Notamacropus eugenii: one gene and its partner. The protein of the gene in region 1 interacts with the protein of each later gene in a biochemical or structural test. Links are inferred from orthologs where the notes say so. Each region holds a gene or a part of one and is shown in the gene's direction. Other genes may lie near its edges. The genes, in order: RPS6KB1 and PDK1.

Region 1 (11,410 bases):
TGAAAATCAGTAAGGACCTATTACTTTACAACTCTCTACAGGGTCTAAATGAGAAAAAAAAGAAGGAATTAAAGATACAGGCAAGAAAGAGGTTTCTAGTTTCATTTAAATTATTATTAGAAGCAAAAATCATTAGAAAAAATTTCCATAGACCTATGTATTTGGGTAAGAAAGAGAAACAGGTCTAGGGAGATATAATAGAGAAGAACTGTCAGGTAGGAGGAAACATGGTTGAGAACAATGGATTTGGTGCTTCCTTCTTGTTCAAAGCCTCCTGAAACTTTTTTTTTTTTTTTTGGTTTCCAGCTCTTTTCTACCAGCAACAGAGCTCAGGTCACCTGTTTCCATTTCTCCTTCTATAGTCACCTCCTACTGTCTAAAATCAAGTTCTGATTTAATGCATTTAATGTCTGTTGACTGACTGGATCCACAATTTCAAGTTTATGGTTTCTTTAGATCCTTCAACTGTATACCAGTAACTCAAGTGAAATGTGAGTAAATCACTCTTACCCATATGCCCAATTATTTCCAGAACCTTGTTTCTGACAGAAATGTGAGTGTTGACCATACTTCCATCTGCTAGAATGGGCAGCTTTTAATAGTGTTTGACTGATCACTTTGGGCTCCATGTCAATAAGCAATGCTCGGGCAATTGGAACTAGAATGTAAAGAGGAAATACAAAATGTGGAAAAAGTTATCCCCACGCAGGATCATAAATTAAGAGCTGGGAGGGCCCTTACATGCTAATTCAGAGTATAAATTTACTTAATGAGAAAGAAAAGAGGGTATCTCTCACTCTGGTATGAAATCCAGGCAAGCAGCAAAAATACCAACATTATTCCTAGTGTTTAGCATTCCTATTGTTGGGATAGGAACTATTTTTACTATTTTAGTAGAACTATTTTTACTATTTATTATTTTTAGTATTTTTAATAATACATACGTTGGTGCTTGCTTTTCTGCTTAATAACCTCCTTGAAAATAGGTTGGACTGTTCCATTCTTTGTATTTGCACACAAATACAAGCCCTCTCTTCCAAAGAAAGTAAGTAACCAGTAGACTTCCAGGCTTAAACAAATACATATCAGTAATTTAATGCAATTAGTTCACAAGTCCAGGTGTTACTCCTAATCAAACAAACACAAGGGCGAGAATTCACAGAACCCACTCTGGACCTCAATGAAGAAACAGTAACTCAACTACTGTTACATATTCAGGTTATGTATCTGAGAAGTGGATAATTATCCCCTACCTTCAAATATTAGGAAGAACTACACCTTTTCAAGACAGTATCAGTATAGGCCCATAGCTTTATCACATCACTCTCAACATAAAAATGACTTGAAAACAGAACTTCCCAAAGAATTTTTACAACTAGTGTCTGTGATAAAGGCCTCATTTCTAAAATATAGAGAACTCAGTCAAATTTACAAGAATACTAGCCATTCCCCAACTGATAAATGGTCAAAGGATATGAACAGCAAGTTTTCAGAGGAAGAAATTAAAGCTACCTACATAGTCATATGAAAAAATGCTCTAAATCACTATTGATTAGAGAGATGCAAATCAAAATGACTCTGAGGTACCACATCACACCTATCAGATTGGCTAACATGACTAAAACAGGAAAATGACAAATGTTGGAGAAGATGTGGGAGACTTGGAAGAATACTAATTCATCTTTGGTGGAGCTGTGAGCTGCTCCAATCATTCTGGAGAACAATTTGAAACTATGCCCAAAGGGCTATAAAATTGTGCATACCCCTTGGACTCAGCACTACCACTTCTAGGGCTATATCCCAAAGAGATCATAAAAATGGGAAAAAGACCCACATGTATAGCAGCTCTCTTTGTGGTGGCCAAGAACTGGAAATCAAGGGGATGCCCATCAACTGGGGAATGGCTGAAAAAGTTGTGGTTTATGAATGTAATAGAACACTATTGTGCTATAAGAAAAGATGAACAGAACTTCAGAAAAAGCTGGAAAGACTTATGTGAATTGATGCTGAGTGAAGTGAGCAGAGCCAGGAGAACATTATACACAGTTAACAGCCACAGTATACAAGGACTGTTTTTGATAGACTTAGCTCTTCTCAGCAATGCAAGGACCTAAATCATTTCCAAAGAACTCATGATGCAAAATGCCATCTACATTCAGAGAAAGAAGTATGGAGTCAGAATGCAGAATGGAGCGACTATTTTCTCCTTTGTTATGTTTTATTTTGTTTTTCTCATGGTTTCTCCTATTTGTTTTAATTCTTCTATGCAACAAGACTAAGGTGAAAATGTGTTTAATAGGAATGCATGTGTAGAACCCATATAAAATTGCATGCTATCTTGGGGAGGGAAGGGGAAGAAATTTGGAATTTATGGTAGTGATTGTTGAAAACTGAAAACAAATTAATAAGTATGGGGGAAAAAAAAGAAAACCAAACTTCCCAATTTTAAATAAAAATTTCTTTGGCAACATTTGTTGAGTATCCACTGTATACAAAGCAACAGGTATTTAAAAAAAAATTAAATTGGATACAAAGAGACTTATGGACATTTCTTTTTGCTTCCTGCTTAAACAGGCAATACTTTTATTTTCCATAATTGGTATTCTAGGGTCAATATTTGTTAAAAGGAAAAAAAAGAAACAATGCGTTGTTCTCAATGTTTATCGCCACCTTAATTACATACCTCCACTTTTCTCCTCATTAAAGAAATGTTCTTTGCAAGATGCCTGATATACTTCATTTTCCCTCTTAGAGCAGAATCCCTGGGTATTATTTAAGTCTCTACATATGGCATCAAATACTTCATAACCAATCTGATTGCCACACTGACCAAGCTGAATTGTGACTATTGACATGGCGACCAAACCTTTTCCTACAAAGAAAGTGAATAAAGCAGAATAGGAAACAATCATGTCTTTCAAAATAACTACAGATTATCATCAAGGGCAAATAAAAACACATACGCATACATCAGAAAGTAATCACACATTAAGCAACATTATATAACAGTAATAACATTCAGGCTTAGCTGAAGGGAAAAACAGAACTTCGAAATTCCTAGATTATCTCTGACAGTGAATTAAAAACAGCATCAGAAATGTATTTCTGTCCCTGAAAATTACTTCGCTTTAAAAAAAGTTATCTTCTCTTCATGAGATAGGATGGTATTGTATTGCAAATATGCTTTCTTTGCTATGGGAAACTCCCAAAAAAACGAAACGTTTCAATATGAGTGACCCCTGCCCTGCTACTTAAGAGTCTTTCAGGGGTAGTTGCCTGAGGCAAGGAAGGTTCAGAGACTGGCCTGGATTCATATATGGGATTTGAAGCCAAGTCTCCTGATTCCAGGGTTGGATCTCTAATCATGACTGTGGATCTCTAACCATACTGTTTCTCATCTTCCTTTCATAATTAAGATACATACATTGGGAGTTACTATCTGTAATGAGGGAGTAGGAATACGCTAACTACTGGGAAATGAGTGCAAGCAGAGTACAAGGCAGATGGAGAGAAGTTTGTTGGTGAAGGTATGTGGTTAGAAAAAATCTTGTTTTTGGTATGATCCACAAGGCCTCATGACAGGTAGTATTATTGTATCTTTGGTAGTATGGAAGCCTGTCGCACAGCAAGAGAAAGATGTAATATGTTCTGGTCTGGGGGTTGAGGCCTTCAGACAACCATAAGCAGGCCCACTTAACCACTGGGCAGTAACTATTGTTTTATGGCAGTTCCCCATGCAGTATGCATAGCAAGCTTGTGCTTATGTGTGTGTGTGAGAGAGAGACTGAGGTTTTTTAAAACAGCTTTTTCAGGTAAATATTTTATTTTCTCTCTTCCCTATCTTCTATCTACAAAAAGAAAAGAAAAACAACACCCTTGTAACAAATATCAGTGGTATCTGATGCAGGTATTTTTCCTACTCTGCTGCTTCTCTTCTGATTCTTTCTTCACTGATTTTATTTGTGCCACTGTTTTTGTTTTTTGCCAGTTTGATAAATGTGAACTGATAACTCCAAGTTTTTTTAATTTGTATATGTTTGATTACTAATGAGACTGAGCAATTTTCAGGTAATTTTTCTGCATATGACATGAAAATTAATGAAGACATCAAACTGGTTTAGCAAAGGTGCAAGATATCCACATTAAAGATCAAGAAAACATCATGAAAAAACACTTTATTTACAATAACAACAAAAATTGGCAAACATTTGGCAATTAAGCTACCTACGAATATGTATAATCTGTAAGAGGACAGCTATATTTCAATGATTCTAGTTTTACAGGAAGATGTAAATAATTAAATATCAGTGATAATAACCACCACAGTTGAGATGATTGCTTGGATTTTTTTTTTTACTGAAGACATCAAAAGATCAGATGTGCCTTCATCAGTATGAGTACTATGGATGAGATTGAAACCTCTTCACACATTAGAATATAACTGTATTGTTTTGTTTTGGTGACACAACCAGTCAGACCACTACTTCTCAGTATCCTTCAATGGCTCTTCTTCCAAGTCATGCCCATTCATATGGGGGTCCTCCAAACCTCTGTTCTCTTTCTCTCTATGTTCTCCCATGTGGTGAGCTTATTAACTGCCAATGGTTCCAGATTTCCAGTGGATGATTCCCATATCTATATATTTTGCCTTAGTCTCTCTCTTGAACTCCACTCCCATATCACCAAGTGCTTATTCATAATGAATGTTCCGCAGGTACTGCAAACTCAACATATTCAAAACAGAACTCATTATCTTTCCCTATAAACCCACACTTCTTTCAAACTTTCCTGTTACTGTCAAAGGCACCACCATCCTTCCTGTCACTTTGTTATAACAACAAGCTTGGTGTCATCCTTGACTCCTCATTCTAATCTACTACACATATCAAACTAGTTGCCAAATTTTGACGTTTGTGTCTCCATTGAAACTCTCAGAACATAATCTTTTAAGTATGCAGACACATTTAGAAAGTGAAAAACAAAAGGTGCGTATCAATAAAAACTGAGGCACCATAAAGAATTTTTGACAAGCCTTCCTTCCTTTATCTGGAACATCAGATTCTCTGTCAATTTTTCCTCAAAGCAATGATTTTGTTTTTGCCAGTAGCAGAATACCCTACAGTTAGAGTGAGAATATATGGAGACTTCACCATCCTTCCAAGCTTAGGTGCCCAGCACCTCTATTAGCCCTTACAAGAAAAGTTCAGTCACTCAGTTCAGGCATTTACCAAGTGCCTACTTTGAGCCAGGCTCTCTGCAAAGGTGGGGATATAAAGAAGAACCAAACCAAAACAAACAAATGCCCCCCCCCCCGCCCTTCTCATGGCACTCGGGGTTTGATGGGGAAGACAACATACAACCATGGACAAACTATATACATACACACACACGTGTGTATGTAAAACATATACACACACACATATACATACACACACGTGTATGTAAAACACACACACACACACACACATATATATATATACATGTAAAATTGGGGTAGTCTCAGAGGGAAGGAAGGCGGCACTGCCCAACGCAGAGGAAAAGAGCTGTCAGTAGGTTAGTTGGCATTCAAGGCACAACACAGAGAGTAGGGTCGAGCTTTTCTTTGCATCCCTAGCGCTTAGCATAGTGCCTAACTAAAAGCTCGTGGACTTCACCAGAACAAGGAAAAAAACGGAAATAAAAAAGGCGGCGGGCTGGTCACCCGGCAACAGCCTCTAGGGCTCTCCATGGGGATGTCAGGCTTATTAATGTGACTGGGCAGGCACGGACGGTGGGGATCGGCCCAGTCGGAGGGAGAAAACCCCATCTACGAGACCACTGGTTGGGAGGCCGGAGACTTCCAACCCCGGCCCCGTGGGGGTCCTGGACAAGACACACGCCCTTTGTGGGGCTCAGTTTCCTCACCGGTACGATCAGGGGGCTGGCCCTGCCGCCGCCGGGCTCCAAGGTCCCTTCCAGCTCTTACTACGCTCCTACAGTGCCAGGTTTCTCCGGAGGCCCGCGGCGAACGTCTCCGACGGACAGGGTAGCAGCAGGGACTTGGTTTCACTGCAGAGGAGCTCAAAGACCAGGGAAAAGGAAGGCCGTGAGGCCCGGAGAGGAGGGCGGAAACCGCCCAGCGAGGCCACCTCGGCGAAGGCCCCAGCTCGAGCGAATGAGAAAGGAAGACTCCCTCATCTCGGGCCTAGGCCCTCACTCACCGACGGCTCCGAGTCCAGCCGAGCTTTAGGGTCTCTGCCACTACCCCCAGAATAACGGCTCTCCACTCACGCATGCTCACTGTCACCAACTCATCCCTCCCCAAACATCCCTCCTGCGCATGTTCGATGTCCGCACTCGAGACTTCAGAAGGATAAGTGCGCATGTTCCGTTCTGCGAACCCTTCTCTCGATAGTTCTCCCTCCCCTTCTTCAGCTGGTCCAAAGTTATATGCAAGTTCTGAGTTCAGTTCATCAATTTCAGAAACGATACGCATGCGCACAGTTTATCAAGCGCTGTTGGAGCAAGAGATACACAAGTTTATACCCTCGGCTTCAGGTGAGGTTATGCGCATGTCTAAGCCTCTACTTCGCTCCCAGAACAAGAGCTAATTTTGCCCATTGCCCATAGTTCGGCTTCATGGGTAGTTCTGCGCATGTGCAAATGGGTGAGCTTGCGGTGTGAGCCTAGGGCCTGAGCGCAGTCGCACTGATACCCGGCAGCTGGTGATGGCGGCGGCAGCAGCGGCGGCTGCGGCGGGTCCGGGCCCATGAGGCGGCGGCGGCGGCGGGACGGATTTTACCCAGCGCCAGACTTCAGAGACGGGGAAGCTGAGGCCATGGCAGGAGTTTTTGACATCGACCTGGACCAGCCGGAGGACGCAGGCTCTGAGGATGAGCTGGAGGAAGGGGTGAGGCCCGGGGTCGGGGGCTGAGCCGAGCCAGGCTGGGCCGGCTGGGCCGGGCGGAGGTGACAGGGCCGGGGCGTAGGCTCGGGCCTAGGGAGCCGGGCCGTTCCAGCGACCTCGCCTGCGGCGAGAGCCAGAGGCTGGGGCCAGGACGCAGGCCAGCGGAGCGGGAGGGCGGCCGGCGGCCGAGCAGCGGGCTCCGCTGTGGAGTCGGGTGGCGCGGCAGGACCAATCCCGAGGTGGGGGCGGCTGCTGACGGGCGCAGGTGCACCAAGCTCCCGGCCACCACCCCCTCCCGACCCCGGGTCTCTGGTGGCGGGGGTGGCGCGAGCTTCAGGGTGACCCTGGAGCAGCGGGTCTGGGAGGCGGCCGCGGGGGAGCAGGGAGGGGTGCTTGGTGCGGGGAGCTCAAGCTGCTCCCCAGCCTGGGGTCCCCGCTCCTTGCGCTCGCCCCGGCGACTTGGCGCCTGCCAAGCGTCCGCTCAGCTGTTGGATGACAGCTGAAAAGTTCTGCGGGCTGGGCTTTGCGGCAGCAGCCGCCCTGGGAGGGTGACCTGCAGGATGCAGTTTCGGGGGGAGGGTTACGGGGTGATTCTTTAAAAGCTGTTTACAGTGTAAAACTGTGATGCCCCTCTTCCCGATTCTCCCTCCGCCCGCCAGACAAGAGGTTTGTGCGGTTTTCTGATTTGGGAGTTGAAAAAACGGTGCCGGCAGCTGTGATTTGGCTTCCCCCAAATAAGTTGCTTTACCTGGGACTTGTTAAGTTGATGGTTCCAGGGCCACCTTGCTGTATGGTAGGACTACTTTCTAGCTTACTTTAAGTAGAGCTTGTTTTTGTCTTTTATTGTTCCTTTTGCAATATTTCTTTTTCCAGGCCAGATTGTACTTAAGGATTATTTATTAATTTTTAAGGTGTTTTTTAGAGTTGGCGAATCTAAAATAATTTATTTCTCTGCTCATGAACATCATTGGTAAGGCATATATTTTTGTACTTCAAAAGATCTGTGATTTCATTTCATCTTTGTGGGTAACCCTCCCCCCCAAGATGATCCCTTCACAGGCTTCACACCTTAATAGATACCCTTTTTTCCCCCCTCCTGGCCTGTGATTTCACCATCAGTGTAGGGTACACCTTAGAGGAAACTGAAGAGGTTGCATCCTTGTCAGGTCTTAATATGTAGTGTTTTTGTTTGTTTTTGTTCTTATCTGTAATTGTATCAACCTGAGGGGGAACTCGTGAGGAATTGCCTACTGCTACTGCACATATAAAATGTATGGTTTGAATTTCCTGGAACTCTGAGAGGTTAAGCTAGTATGTGTCAGCTTGGGAAAATTTCTTGGCCAATTCTAGTATATAGTTTTGTGAGTTGATATGGCCAAAATAATTCATTACAGTCAGCGTTTTGATGATGAATTTTTCCAAGCTTAGACTGTTCCTATAAGAACATTTGTTAATAACAGTAATTAATGGCTAGTGTGTTACATGTGGTAGACACATATATGTATATATACACATGTATGTATATACATATATATACACATACATATACATATATACACTCGTTACTTTCAGGCTTGGTGAACGCTTTATCATCTCATTTTTTATTGGCCCTGTACTCCATCCTTTCTAGCTTGGTAAGACTTACCACTTCTAGAACCTAATATCACCACCACATCCTGATGAGACATCATCCTAGGTCTTTAGACATGAGATTTAAAAATATTAATGAGTTGGATATTGAAAGTTCTATTTTGCTTCTCATTTTCCTTTTAAATTTAAAAAAGAAAATTCAAATAGAATAGTAATCTGAAAGTTGAGTAATTTAGCAACACTTTGCTTGTGTTATTGGGATGTTATTTAACTGCCCAATTCCATCCTCATCCCCTCAAACAATAGTAACGTTTGCATATTATCAAACTGATAAATGTTAGGGTTAAAAGATGTCATATATATACATATATATGTAAAAACATACACACATATATTATAGATAATATTTATACACACATACATACATGTATATATTTATGTAAAAGACATGTATAAATAAAAGATACCGTTATGTATGTACATGCAATATATATTTATAGGAATACATTTTCTATATGAAGATCTTTGAGTATCTTAAAGGGAAGTTAAAACAGGAATGAATAATGCTGTTCTTTTCATGATCATCTTTACCCTCTAAATCTACCACTTCTCCCAACTTCTTTATTTTTCTTTAGTATCATGCTCCTAGTTTTGTAACTCAAAAAGTAATCTTGACTCCCTTGTTCCCCAGATCCACTTAGTTTACGTAAACTTCATAACATCTCTCCCATCAGTTCCCTTCTCTTTGCTCACAGACTGCACCCTAGATCAATTCTGAATCTTTTCTTTCATGATTATTATAATGATCTCTTAATTGATCAGTACTTTTATTTTCCACCCTCTCCAATCTGTCTTTTCACTGACTTGCTAAAATACTCTTCTTGAGGCACTGATCTGATCATGTTATTCCTCTGCTTAAAAAGCAACTGTTTCCTTGTTGCCTCTACAAGAGAACAAACCCCTCCACCAAGCTTTTGAAAGCTCTTTAGCTCCAAACTGCCTTTTCATACTTATTTCTACAACTTTCCCTTCAGGCAGGCTACTCACTGTTGCCTGAGCTCTCCAGCTTCTTTGTATTTGCATAAGCCTGCCTTGGTTCTAGGAAGGCCCTTCACTCCTTAATAGCTCAGCTCAGATGAAGTTCCTCCCCCTATTTTCTCCTGCCCCCCAGCTAGTAATTCTCTGTTTGTCTTTCCTTGGATTTATAGGCTTCTTGAGGGTAGAGACTGTTTCATTTTAATTTGTACCCTACCCTGTTTTACTCATAGGCATTAAATAAATGTAATGGATTAAACATAAGACTGGGCTTGTGATTTCCTTGGTATAGGTGAGGAAACTCCTTCTAATAATGCAGGTCAGTACCTTCACTGCTAACTAGTTTTAAGAGTAATCCAGAGCATTGTTAATTTGCCCAGGGTCACATAGCCAGTTTATGGCAGTAACAGAACTTGAACTTGGATCTATCTTGTTGATTTCAAAGCCATCTCTATTTGTAACATCACACAGCCTCTCAAAAATAAATGAAATTTCTTCATATGAAAAATAAATGTCTATTGAATTGTCAAGTCGAATTAAATCTCAGAGTTATTTTAGAGAAGTGCGTAGTCTGGTAGGGAGGGTAACTTGTTGCAAGATTTTTCAACTCAGTTCTATGTTCACATTAGCCTAGTGCTTGGATTTTGATATTATTAGAAACTACATCACATATTAAATACTATTTGAAATAAAAAGGTGACTCTGACCCTGCCATCTCAGTACTTATGTATTCTTTGACATGATATACTTTTATTAGTTGAATTGACAATTTTAGAATTAAGGTTTATCATCTTTTTAAAATGTTTGAATTTTACACTGGGGACAGCTAGGTGGTACAGTGGATAGAGTGCCAACCCTGAAGTCAGTTGACTTCTGACCTCAGACACTTACTAGCTGTGTGGCTCTGGGCAAGTCACTTTGCCCTGTTTGCCTCAGTTCCTCATTTGTAAAATGAGCTGGAGAAGGAAATAGCAAACCACTCCAGTATCTTTGCCATGAAAAATGTATCTGAAGAATCAGATATGACTGACCAACATACTTTTATACTTGGAAAGATTTGAAAAAAGTTCAAATACTAGGAAATTATTCTCATTTCCTTTTAATATCTATGAAATATGCTTTTCAAAAATTTTACTGTTCAAACCAATATATTCCTCTTGTTTTGGAGAAATACTCAATCAGAAAACTTACTTTGGAATTGTTTGTTGGTATTATTGAACCACATTGTGAACTACATCACTTATTGCCAAACAGCCAGCACTTAGTTTGCCCTCAGCATGATGTAGTGGAAAGAGTATTAGATCTAAATCAAGAGATTTCGGTTTCAAGTGTACGTGCTCTGCCACTTCAGCCCTCTAAATTTAGGCAACTCACTGTACCTTTTTTCTGGTCCTTGATTTCATCATCCAAAAACTGAGGGAGCTGGACTCTGGAATTTTTAAAGAACATTTTCCATTCTACATTTTACTGAAGTATGATTTATTGATAAATGCAGTTATTTTGGCAGTGGTGTGTATTTTGAAGTGTCAGATAAGCAGTCGGATTATACCTCATGGTATGCCAGTATAACCCCATTTAGAAAGGGGCAAGCCTTTGTGAGTGTGTGGGCACAAAGACTTCAAGTCCCTGTTAATTAGTTTTTTGATACCTAGAAGACTAAAACAATCTTTCAAAGAGGAATAGACTATGCATTTATAAATAATAGTGATAGCTAGCATGCACATTGCAATTTAAGATATGAATGCTTTATATATGTTATCTCATTTGATCCTCACAACAACTCTGTGAGGTAGGTGCTCTTATTTTATACATGAGGAAACTGAAGCTGAGATGTTAAATGACTGTCTTAAGTCATAGAGTGTCTAAGTCTGGATTCAAATTTGGGTCCTGCTGAACCCA
Region 2 (11,305 bases), on another chromosome or scaffold:
ATGGCACTTATAGACTGCCCAGGTTTCACAGGCATAAAACAATGAGTTCAGCACAACAGCTCTGTAGACCTTCTGTCTGGTAGTCAATCTAATACCTCTTATCTCCCATACTTTCCTTTAGAACCTCCCAAACAATGAGCTAGTTCTGGCAATGCATGCATCAACCTCATTACCAATGTGTACATCCCTAGAAAATACACTACCAAGGTAAGTGAACTTATCCACAGCATTCAAAACTTCTCCATTTGCTGTAACTAATGGTTCCATGTATGGATGGTGTGGTGGTGGCTGAAGGAACACCTGTGTTTTCTTGGTGTTAATTGTTGGGCCAATATTAGCACAAGAAGCAGAGAATTGATCCATATTTTGTTGCTTCTCAACTTCAGAGGCTGCATTGAGTGCACAATCATCTGCAAACAGAAAATCATGCACCAACATTCCCTCCACTTTGGTCCTGGCTTGTAGCTTTTTCAAGTTGAAGAACTTACCATCAGTGCAGTAGCTGACCTTGATGCCGTGTTCATCCTCATTGAAAGCATTTGAAAACAAGGCTGAAAACATCATGCTAAAAGGCATGGGAGTAAGCCTTGGTTTACTCTATTGGTGACTGGGAGGGCACAAGAACATTGTCCATTATCTAGAACCCGGGCCAGCATGCCATCATGAAATTGATGATCAATGCTGATGAATTTCTCCAGGCAATCAAATTTTGACATAATTTTCCATACGCCCTCACAACTAACAGTATCAAAGGCCTCAGTCAGATCTACAAATGTATACAGATCTCTCTTTTGCTCCTGGTATTTCTCCTGGAATTGTCAGGCAGCAACCATATCAGTGCTCCTCAGCCCTTTCTAAAGCCATACTGGCTCTCAGGTAGATGATCATCTTCCAGCTGAAGGATTAGGTGAAGGAGAACTCTGGCAAGAATCTTGCCAGCAATGACTAAGAGAGAGACCCCCTGTGATTGTCACAGGACAATCTATTTCCTTTACCTTTACAGGGAACACTTTGTTGCTAACTTGGAGGAAAAGTTGAGCAAACACACACACAGCTGGCAACAGTGGAGCAGAAAACAAGTGGGTGGCTTTCAGAGATTTGGTGTACAGTGTTGCATTTGCTCATCACGAAAATGATGGGGAAATTCAGAAGCTGCTAAATGAAAAATGAGAACTCTACAGGGCTTACCAGAAGGATAGTTCATCCATCTCTAAGAAGGCAGCATTTAATTCCATCAAAGGTAAAGTACAAGCAAAGCTTAGAGAGATGCAGGATTCTTGGTTCTGTAAGAAGGCAGATGAAATTCAGTTTTATTCTGATAGTAACAATCCAAAACACTTTTATGATGCCCTGAAGGCTATTTATAGGCCAAAGACCTATGGTGCATCTCAGTTACTCAGTGCTGATGGAGCCAGTTTGATTAGCAATATGATCCTAGAGATCTGAACACTTCCATAGTGTACTCATCATCAATCAATGCTGAGGTCATTGACTATTTACCTCAGGTTGAAGTCAATCCGTTCCTAGCTGAAGCTCCAAGTAAAGAAGAGGTTCTGCGTGTCTTTCAAGCACCTGGTGCTGATTCTATTCTAGCTGAGATTTACAAGGTAGAGGGTCCATTGCCCATACAAAAGCTGACTGAAATTTTCCAAGTTATATGGCAAGAGGAGGTAATCACCCAGGAATTCAAAGATGCCTCTATTGTCCATCTGCTGAAATGTGTTGTTTCAGGGTTATGTTAGTAGTTATGCAGTGTTATGTTAGGAAGTAGCTAAAATATAATTCATATCACAAGTGTTATTAATATGTTTATGTGCAGTGTCCCTCCAGTGGAATGTGAACTTGTTAAGAGCACCTCTATCAGTTTTGTCTTTGTGTGCTCAGACCTAGCTGATTGTTTATTTACCAAATGTTTGTTAAATTGAAATCGAATTACAGCTCCTAGTACATTTTTCTTTCAAGCACCATATTCACTTCTGTCTCTTAATTAGTAGAATTCAAAAGAGCTTTTAAACACAGTAACAGATTAGGATCATACACATTTTATTACCTTAAATAGCCAATTCCAACAGTTAAAAATAGCAAGCTTCTGTAGTGAGACATTCCATTCTTCTCCCCTCTTCCACTTGTGATTAAAATATAACTGAACTTTGTGTACTAGTTTTCGCTGTATGATCAAGCACCAGTAATTCTTCAAATTCCCTTTGCTCTTTTCTACTATGAGTTCTTCTAGGAAAACAAAAAAATGAAACCTATCTAAATTTCCAAACAAAAGTCAATACACTACAATACCCAGGAACTGAAAGGAGGAAGGGGGTGATGCTGAAATTTTTTCTGAGTTTTCATGACACTACTCTCTCCTGGCTCTCTTCCTACTTGAATGAACATTCTTTCTCAGTCTCCTTTGTAAATTTATCATCTATATCATGCCCCCTAACTTTGGATGTACCTCAAGGTTCTGTCCTTGGTCACCTTCTCTTCTCCTTCTTGGTAGTCTCATCAGTCTTGTGGGTTTGACTACCATCTCTATGCAGATGACACCATCTATCTATCTATCTATCTATCTATCTATCTATCTATCTATCTATCTATCTATCTATCTATCTATCTATCTCCAGTGCTAGTAACTATTCTGAACTTTAGTCTTGTATCACCAAATGACCATTAAACCTTTTGGAATGGCTATCTTAAGCTAAACATATCCAAGACTGAACATGTTATCTCCTTCTAAACCTATTCCTCTTCTAAGCTTCCCAATTTCTGTTGAAGTCACCATCACCCTTCCAATCTCCCAGGTTTATAACCTTGGTATTATCTTCAACTCATTCTCCCTCATCTATTGAATCTTTTGCCAAATCTTGTATTTCCACCTTCATAGTATCTCTTCCATCAAACTTCTTATCTTCATTCAGAAATAGCTACTACCTTAGTTCAAGCTGTCATCACCTCTCACCTAAATTATTGCAATGTCTCTTAATTAGTATTCTTGACTCATGTCTTTTCCTACTCTAATCCATTTTATACACAGCTGCCAAAGTAATTTTTCTTAATCACAAATCTGACCATATCAATTTCCTGCTCAATCAACTGGAAGTTTCCAACTGCTTCTAGAATAAACTATAAACTTCTCTGATTACTTTTAAAACTTTGTACAATCTGGACAAAACCTACCTTTGCTGCCTTATTAGGATTACTTCTCCTCCTGCACTCTCCAAACTGGTCAAACTGGCCTTCTCTCTCTGTTCCTCACACAGGAGACTGTCTCCTATCTCTATGTTTGTACTGACCCATGCCTGAAATGCACTATCTTCTTATCTTTGCCCCATAGAGTCCTCCTCTTCCTTCTAAAATGAAGCTAAGGAATTATCTTCTGCATGAAGCCCTTCCTGATCTTCCCAGTTGCTAGTACAAACTAATTTGCACACATTTGTATTTATTCACATACACATGTCCTTGCTGTCTCCCCTATTAGAATATAAGATTCCTGTAAATAGGGTTTCTTTCATTCTTTGTATTTGTTTTACCAGAGCATGACACAGTGGGCAATTAATAAACACTTGTTGATTCATTGTTAATTGGTGAATTTAATTTTCCCCTCCTTAATTATGAGGTTCAGTAAGTTTGTTTTAATTATTATTGTCCATACTCTACAATGTGTAATAGATAGTGCAATCTTTGTGTTTCAATGTTACTGAAAATTAATTATCTTTTGGCATTTTTTTCTTTTTTTATAGCATGTACTTGGAGATGGTGGGATCTTTGAAGCTATTTATGGTTGCCTTTTTACCTCCTGGGCTGCTTCATGTTTTTTGCCCCTAAAGCCACCTGGCTTTGGACTATCCCATGACAGCTGGTCTGCTATTTTTTGAGGTTTTTTTCCCCCACCTGTCAGCTACATTACATTACTTAAAGTTGGGCTTCAGTGTCTACCTGCAGCATTTTTCCCATCCTCCAAATTTGTTGTGGCCATATTTTGGCTTAATGTTCAGGAATTACCTATATTTCGTGTTGACCAAGGATTGAGATTGGATTGAGATTCTCCCTTCTCAGACACTGATTTTGATCTGGTTTCAACCATGGTACAGCATTTCTTGCAACCCTTGTAAAGTCTATATATAAACAACAATTCATAGATCTTCACCATGTTCTAGATTAGGCTGGGGCATTTTATCAGGCCTCTCAAGGTTTGCTTAGGCCTTCCCTAATCTTTACCTAAGTCCAGAAAAAGAGGTTGACAATTTTGTCACAATAACAAGAAAAATGGCCCTGGGTTGGGAAGAGCAAAACCCTCCATTAAAATATGGGTTTTTCTTCAACTTGAGGATCTAGAGAGTGTTGTAGACTCAGGTAACATAATAATTCTCACATTCTTCTTTCCAAGGCTGCCAGTTCTACAGGTACAGAGGTCAATTAAAACTTTAGTGGGGGTGCTGCCTGGATAGCCACTTAAGTTCAGGAAATGAAAGGGGTGGGAAGCAGAGGTGAATCAAAGCTATTTAATTCTGTGATGGCAGAAGAATTTGATGTTTTCTTTACTCATAGTGGAATAAGGAAATGGAGGACTTGAGTTCTGATCCTATTGTGGGATGATTCCTTCTTTCTTTCATCCCCTAGTCCCTGTGTTTCAGTTTTTCTTTTTATTAGCCCCACTATAGTGCCATACATGCCAACTTCTTTTAAGACGGGGGTGGAGGGTGAGAAAGGTGAAGTGAGATGATGACCTAATTGGTCTCCCTGCCTCCAATCTCTCCCCTCTGATTTATCCTCCAAACAGCAGTACAGATCACATATCAGGACCCCACTGAATCTCCTTATGCCTTTTTTTCGTTTTTACTCAGATGACTGGGAAGATAGTCAGTAGCCTGAGCCTAGTTCCCTTCAACATTCAACTGAAGAGCCATCTCCTACAGAAGACTTATCTAGATCTCCATATTTGCTAGTGCCCTCTCTCCAGGAATTACTTTGTCTATATTTTGTGTTTACTTATTTTTATGTTGTTTCTGTGCAATAGAAAGTAATATCCTTAAAGGGCAGTGATGGGCTTTTTTTTTTTTTTTGACCCTTTGCATCCCAGGATTAGGAGAGTACTTTGCAGTCTGTATACAAGTATACAAGCATTTATGAGCTGGGCTGTGTTCTAAACTTTGTGTTCCATTCTTCCTTTTTGAAGAGGACCATGACATCAGAGAAATGATGACATGACTTGCACTTGACTTTGTTTTGAGTGAGGGGGAGCTGTGCAAGGTCACCAACTTCACTGTCCCCTCCTGAGCCATTTGGATCCAGTGTCCAAATATTCATCAGGATGACCAGAGAAGGCCCAGGATGCAATGGGTTTAATGAGCAAAAGAAAAAAAATAAGTAAATCAAGCTGGTAGGGAAAGAGCAACAGTTACCGTTGATAACTCTGGAGATACAAATGAAGGAAAAACATGGCCACTGCCCTTAAGGAAGCTTCCTTTACCATGCAGCAACAATGTATTCATAAAATATATACAGTGTAAAATGGGAAGTAATCACATAGAGGAGACACAGGAGAGCGTGTTGAATGAATTAACTTTCTCTTGAGTTCTCTCTGGTGAGTCTATCAATGTTACTCTAATTCCCTCATGCCTCAGAGCAGCTCTTTTAAATAACTGAACAAAAGGATGATGATCCTGTCTTCCCCTTCCCCCCACCCCTCCATCCTATAGGTAAATAGGTCAAGGCATCCGTAGGGCGGTGGCATCTTCCCGTGCCTTTGTGAAGGCAGGAGGGGTCCTAAGCGAAGCCAGGTGGCATTAATGCCAATGCTAGGGAGGGTGGCTGGGGGGTGCGAGCCGCGAACGTAGTAGTAAAGCACTCGCGTCCTAGCCCTTCCAGGCTCATTCAGGAGTGGGCTGCGGACCCCTTCCCCCCCACCTCACCCTCCTCCACAGCTGGAGCAAGGCACAGCGCGCTCCTTCGGGTGAAGCGAGGCTAAGCAAAGCCAGGCCTAAAGAAAGTGGAAGGCGCCCGAGTCCCAGCGGGTTTCGAAGGACAAAGCACTCACGTGCCTCCCCCACGATGGGAAGGGGCGGGGAGACGCCGGGCTCCGCCCCTCCCCTCCTGGGGGCGGGGCACTCAGCTCCCTGGTTCAGGCGCCTAGCCTAACATGGCGCGGAAGGCCCCGCCTCTTCCGGCCCCCCCACGACTCCCTGCACGTACGCGCCACGGAAGCCAGGAGCCGGGCACGCGATGGCGCCTCTCGGATTTGGGTCTCCTTTTTCTTTACATCTTCTGGAACGTATTTCACTATGAGGTTAATAAGGTACCTACGACGGGCAGCCTCGGCCGGTCCGGGCCCAGGTCCCCCCCCAAGCTGGAGTCCCGGTGCCGACCTCGAGCGCAGCGTCCCGGGCCAGGTGGATTTCTACTCGCGCTTCTCCCCGTCCCCGCTCTCCATGAAGCAGTTTCTGGACTTCGGTGAGCGGCTTCGCGCTTCTCCGGGGGGAGGCCCTGGAGGGTCCCGGTGACGGGCGGGGGAGGAGGGGAGGACGCTGCCCGCGCCCGCCCTGGGGTCCCTCTGCCCGGCTCCCTCTCCCCCGGCCCGCCCTCGGCTGTCGGGTGCTCCGCCCACCTCTGTGTCCAGGTCTCTCTCCGTGCTCTCGTGTCTGCCTCCTTCCCACCTTTCCCTGTTTTGCCTTTGCGTCCTCATCTAGTGTTTTTTCTATGCGTTTTATTTGGTGCATTTCTCATTTTTAAACAAAAACTAGGAGTTAGAAAAGTCATCTGGTGTCGGAGCGAGGGAAAGACAAGGAAGCGTTTCGGGGCCTCGTCCGTTGCCAATTGTTCTTTTTGTCTGCTTTGTTTTATTTTATCTGTTTATTTTTGACGTAAGCAGGACTCACAGTTGCGGACGCAGTGTCTGACACAAGCCACAGTTTTATTTGTAATAAGCAACAGGGACCAGGAATGATGATAAATCCTCATTTCGGCACAAATCCCTTCATCTCTTGGGCAGTGGCAAATGCTCATGATGGCCGTGTTGCTGCTGTTTATTGGTGTAGAATTTTTCTTTTCCCAAGATTACTGTTCACTTTTTTTTTTAAGGAAGCAACTAATCATCTAGACTTGTGAAAGAAAACATATTTGGCTCCTTTTCTTGAAAGAGAATCATACTTTTCTAGGCATTGAGATGAATTAGACCATGAGCTCCTGCAGGGTCAGGGACATCTCTTTGGCTCCTTCCGCTTTGCTTGGTCTCTCCAGTGCTTAAATACTCAGGACCAAATGAAGATGAATAATTGTAAAAGTGCAGGACCTGGCACATGAGTGCTTGGTAAATGCTTATGAACTGATAAATGTTGATAACCCAGGGAAAGTATTTTAATTTTAAACAAATATTGAATATAATAACCTGCTTGAACACGATGCTATGGGACTCCGTTTTTTGGTTAACACAAATCTGTGACTACTTTTAAGTAACTTATAGTCTAGTTTTCTTCCCGTTCAAATTGATGATTCTTTTAAAGTTTTCCCTAAATGAAAGAAGATATTTTGCCGATTATAGAAAAGGAAAGAGGTGGTTGCATTTAAAAAGCCTTTAGGACTTAGTTTATTTATTGCCTTCTTCTTGGACAAAGTCAAACATGCACTAATATTAATAATAATGTTTATATATGTTCCAGGCACTATGCTAAGCGCTGTACAATTATTATCTCATTTGATCTTCACAATAGTCCTGAAGATAAGTGCTATTATTATCTCCATTTTCCAGATGAGGAAACAAAGAAAAACAGGTTAAGTAACTTGCTCAGGCTGCTAGTAAGTTTCTGAAGTCCACTTAGAACTCAGAGAAAAAAGGGAAAAGTAGAAAACTTCTAGTAAGTAATCTTTGGGAAAAAAAACTCCATAGTCCGGTGCTTGGGTAAAATAACTTACTCTTTTTTTGCTCTCAGGCTTCACTGCAGTGTCCTAAGAGAGCACTCATAGCATAACATTGATGATTTCATTATTTTAAAATAAAGACTCCTATAAGGTTTGTTTATTTTGACTAGAAAACCTCTACATGTTTTTATTTTTACTTGTAATTTGAAACAATTATTCTGATAGTTAAGACCTAATCATTACCTCAGTATTCCATCAAATCTGACTTTTAGGAGAAAGTGTTTTCCTTTAAAGCTTTTGAGACAATATGGTATGAAGAAGCATTGCATTGTGGTGGAAAAAGTGCTTTTCTGGAGTAAGGAGAAGCAGGTTATGTCCTGGCTCTCCCACTAATTGCATGACCTGAGACAAGTAACTGAACTTTTGCAAAAATGGATTTACTGCATCAAAAAAAAATGTATACCTAAAAACATGAGTTAAGATTAAGAAACATTAAAATGCGTAGTATAGTTGTAATTTTAACAAGTTGCCCTTTTTCATTTTAATTATAATGGACTATTTTACATATTTCCCATCTAGATATTAATATTGTAGAATAGAAAATAGGATAAAATACAGTTTATCCTGTAGTAATGTAGGAAATTTCAAAGCATCTATAGTAGCTTCAAGAGGAAGAGAAAAGGTTTCATCACTGGTCTGAGAGTGGCTGCAAAGTAGGTATGGTAATGAAGCATACTTTAAAAGAAAAAAACCTCTTATTTTTGGTATTTTAATTACAATTATCGCTATGTGTAGGACATACTGATCCCATTTAGTGTAATATGAGTGAACGCAAAAGCACAGTGATGGCTCCCATCAGAACAGTTTGATCAGTATATTTAGTCTAACTTCTTAAAGAATATATATTTCTCAGACTTATCTTCCCCCTAAGATTAAAGAATCCTACAATTCCTTCAGCAAGACTCCAGACTTTTTTATCTGGATAGTGAATCAAGAAACCATTCTTTTGAATGGAATGTTTGGTAGAAATTTAAAAGAATGTTGGTGGTTATTTATCTTATGTTATCATTGAGATTTCTTAAGTCAGTGATCTATCATGGTAAAATGGTAAAAGGCAAAGATCTAGTCATTGGCAACTTTGGTTTTTTTCTTGGTAAATCTACACTTCTTTCTAGGAAGAGTTGACTTCTTCTTGAAGACTTATGATTTTCTATCTCTTACATATTTCCTTGTTTCCCTTAAGGTTCAGTTTTCAAACAGTATGACAACTTTGTAAGCAGATATTTTCAGAATTTCACGGTTTAAGAAACAAAGAACGAATATGAAAGCAACTTTTGGTGGAGGAATAATTTTGTTCTTGTAGAATCACATTTTCTTCACACTTCCATTTTGATTTCCAAATTCCTTTTGTTTCAGGATCTGTGAATGCATGTGAAAAGACCTCATTTATGTTTTTGCGGCAAGAGTTGCCAGTGAGATTGGCAAACATAATGAAAGAAATCAGTCTTCTTCCAGATAATCTTCTAAGAACACCTTCAGTTCAGCTGGTACAGAGCTGGTAAGAATCCTGTCTTGTTTTTGCAATATTAGTGGAGAATATTTTGCCTTATATTAAACATGATCGTCATTGGACTACCAGAATTATAAGCAGCCTTTATTTGGTGGTGTATGTATTTGTTCCCTAAGTCCTATTAGACATTGCTATTCTTTTCTTTGAGAGAAGCAGTACTGCACAGAAATGTGAGTGCCACAGTTAAATATGTCTTGTGATTTAGTTCTTGTTAAATTTTACAGGAATGATTTTTTTTAACACTCTAAAATTCATACAAATGCAATCAGTATGGGTAAATGTATTTTAAAAGCACACATTTTTAACAAATGGATTGATCCAATTGTGAAGACATCTTCGGTTTTATAAGCTATATTTTAAAAAATTGGTTTAATCTTTTTATTAATAAATGATTTTATTAATCATTTTCAAGTAATTGCCTTTGTCTTCACTATTGCTATTTCTTAAGCATTGTAAACATTTAACAAAAGAATTGATCAAGATAAAATTTGAATGAAAAATAATTTAGTTACAAAAACTTTATTCTTCGATTATGATGATTATTTTAAGAGATTTTAGTGTCTTTTTTTTTCTTTTGTGGAAATTATGCATCTGTGAGAGAATCTGAGAGAATCTGCTCTTGCATATCCATTTTTTAAATTCATAAAAGAAACAAGTGGGCCAAAATTAGCATAATCATATTAATTTTTTTAAATGACAATATAGCTTTAAGCATTAAACTGTTAGAGATTTGATTAAGCACAAATTATTATGCATATTTGTGTCTGAAAAAATGTATATAATATACATTCATACACATTCATACATATACTGAAATGACTGAACCACATGGGGTGGGGAACCTGTGGCCTTCTAGGTCTTCAAGTGTGACCTTTTGACTGAATCCAAACTTCGTAGAGCAAATCCCCTTAATAAAAGGATTTGTTCTGTAAAACTTGTACTTTTGAACTATACCACCATTTTTTGAATTAAAGACATGTCCAAGAGTTACTTAGAGTGAAGATACAAAATTTAAGGAAAAAAAATACAATAGAATGAGATCTTAAGATTCTTGAGTAATATCCTGTCTAAGGTATCATCAGAAAGAGGGAATATAGACTAGTTTTTTAGTAAATATAAAAAAGTATCTCTTCAACAATTAATGCACTGCTAACATGACACCATAATATTGTTCCTGATCAAAAGGTGATATTAGAAATACATTTGTAGTATTTTTATAGATTAAGGTCTTGGAACATAATAAGTTCAAATTTAACTTGGGGATTTACATTTTAGGTACATTCAGAGTCTGCAGGAGCTTCTTGATTTTAAGCATAAAAGTGCTGAAGATGCTAAAGCTGTTTATGAGTGAGTATATTCTTGATCCCATTCCTGTAATGCCTTTTACTGCTTAATTTCAGTCTTCTAAACGCTATTCCATAAAGCAAATACGTTGGACTTAATTTTGCTAATGGAAAAAGGAGTTATTTATTTATTTATTTTGTTTTAGAGGGTTTATTAACTCTTTGAGGTCACAATGACTTAACTAAATTTTCTTCCCACTCTTAAGATTCTCTGTCTGTGTTTGGCTTGACTCCTATTAAGTTATATGACTTAGTTGCTTTAAAAAATTACACTAAGAATCTTGTCCCTTTCAAAGAAGTTACTTTGAGAGGTACACCTAGTCTAACAATGCTGTCATTGCTCAAAATCTTTAGAGTTCTACTTTAGAACTGTCTTTAAAACTTGTGGCATATAATTTTGAGTATGGGTAATGGTGAACAAAGGATAAAGATTTAATGTGATTTTTGTAAATAAAAGTCATTCAAAGTCTAGTCGGTAAGAAGGATGATCAAGTTGGGTATACAGTTTTTAATTTTTGAAAGAAAGAAAGAGTAAGTATTGGGT

The links.
Region 2: the proteins of RPS6KB1 (region 1) and PDK1 form a complex in vitro, tested with the Homo sapiens proteins (2 studies listed by BioGRID and IntAct, with this or other methods). The link is inferred for Notamacropus eugenii from reciprocal best matches to the Homo sapiens genes RPS6KB1 and PDK1.

The regions. Positions count from the first base shown.
Region 1 is NC_092873.1:372,680,681-372,692,090, forward strand, and holds the start of RPS6KB1 (ribosomal protein S6 kinase beta-1), read left to right. Parts: upstream 1-6,659; 5' UTR 6,660-6,748; coding exon 6,749-6,889; intron 6,890-11,410. Other genes in the region: TUBD1 (tubulin delta chain), read right to left, coding at 511-658, 2,684-2,855. UniProt on the Homo sapiens protein: Serine/threonine-protein kinase that acts downstream of mTOR signaling in response to growth factors and nutrients to promote cell proliferation, cell growth and cell cycle progression.
Region 2 is NC_092876.1:234,412,058-234,423,362, forward strand, and holds the start of PDK1 (pyruvate dehydrogenase (acetyl-transferring) kinase isozyme 1, mitochondrial), read left to right. Parts: upstream 1-6,156; 5' UTR 6,157-6,275; coding exon 6,276-6,444; intron 6,445-9,264; coding exon 9,265-9,406; intron 9,407-10,693; coding exon 10,694-10,765; intron 10,766-11,305. UniProt on the Homo sapiens protein: Kinase that plays a key role in regulation of glucose and fatty acid metabolism and homeostasis via phosphorylation of the pyruvate dehydrogenase subunits PDHA1 and PDHA2.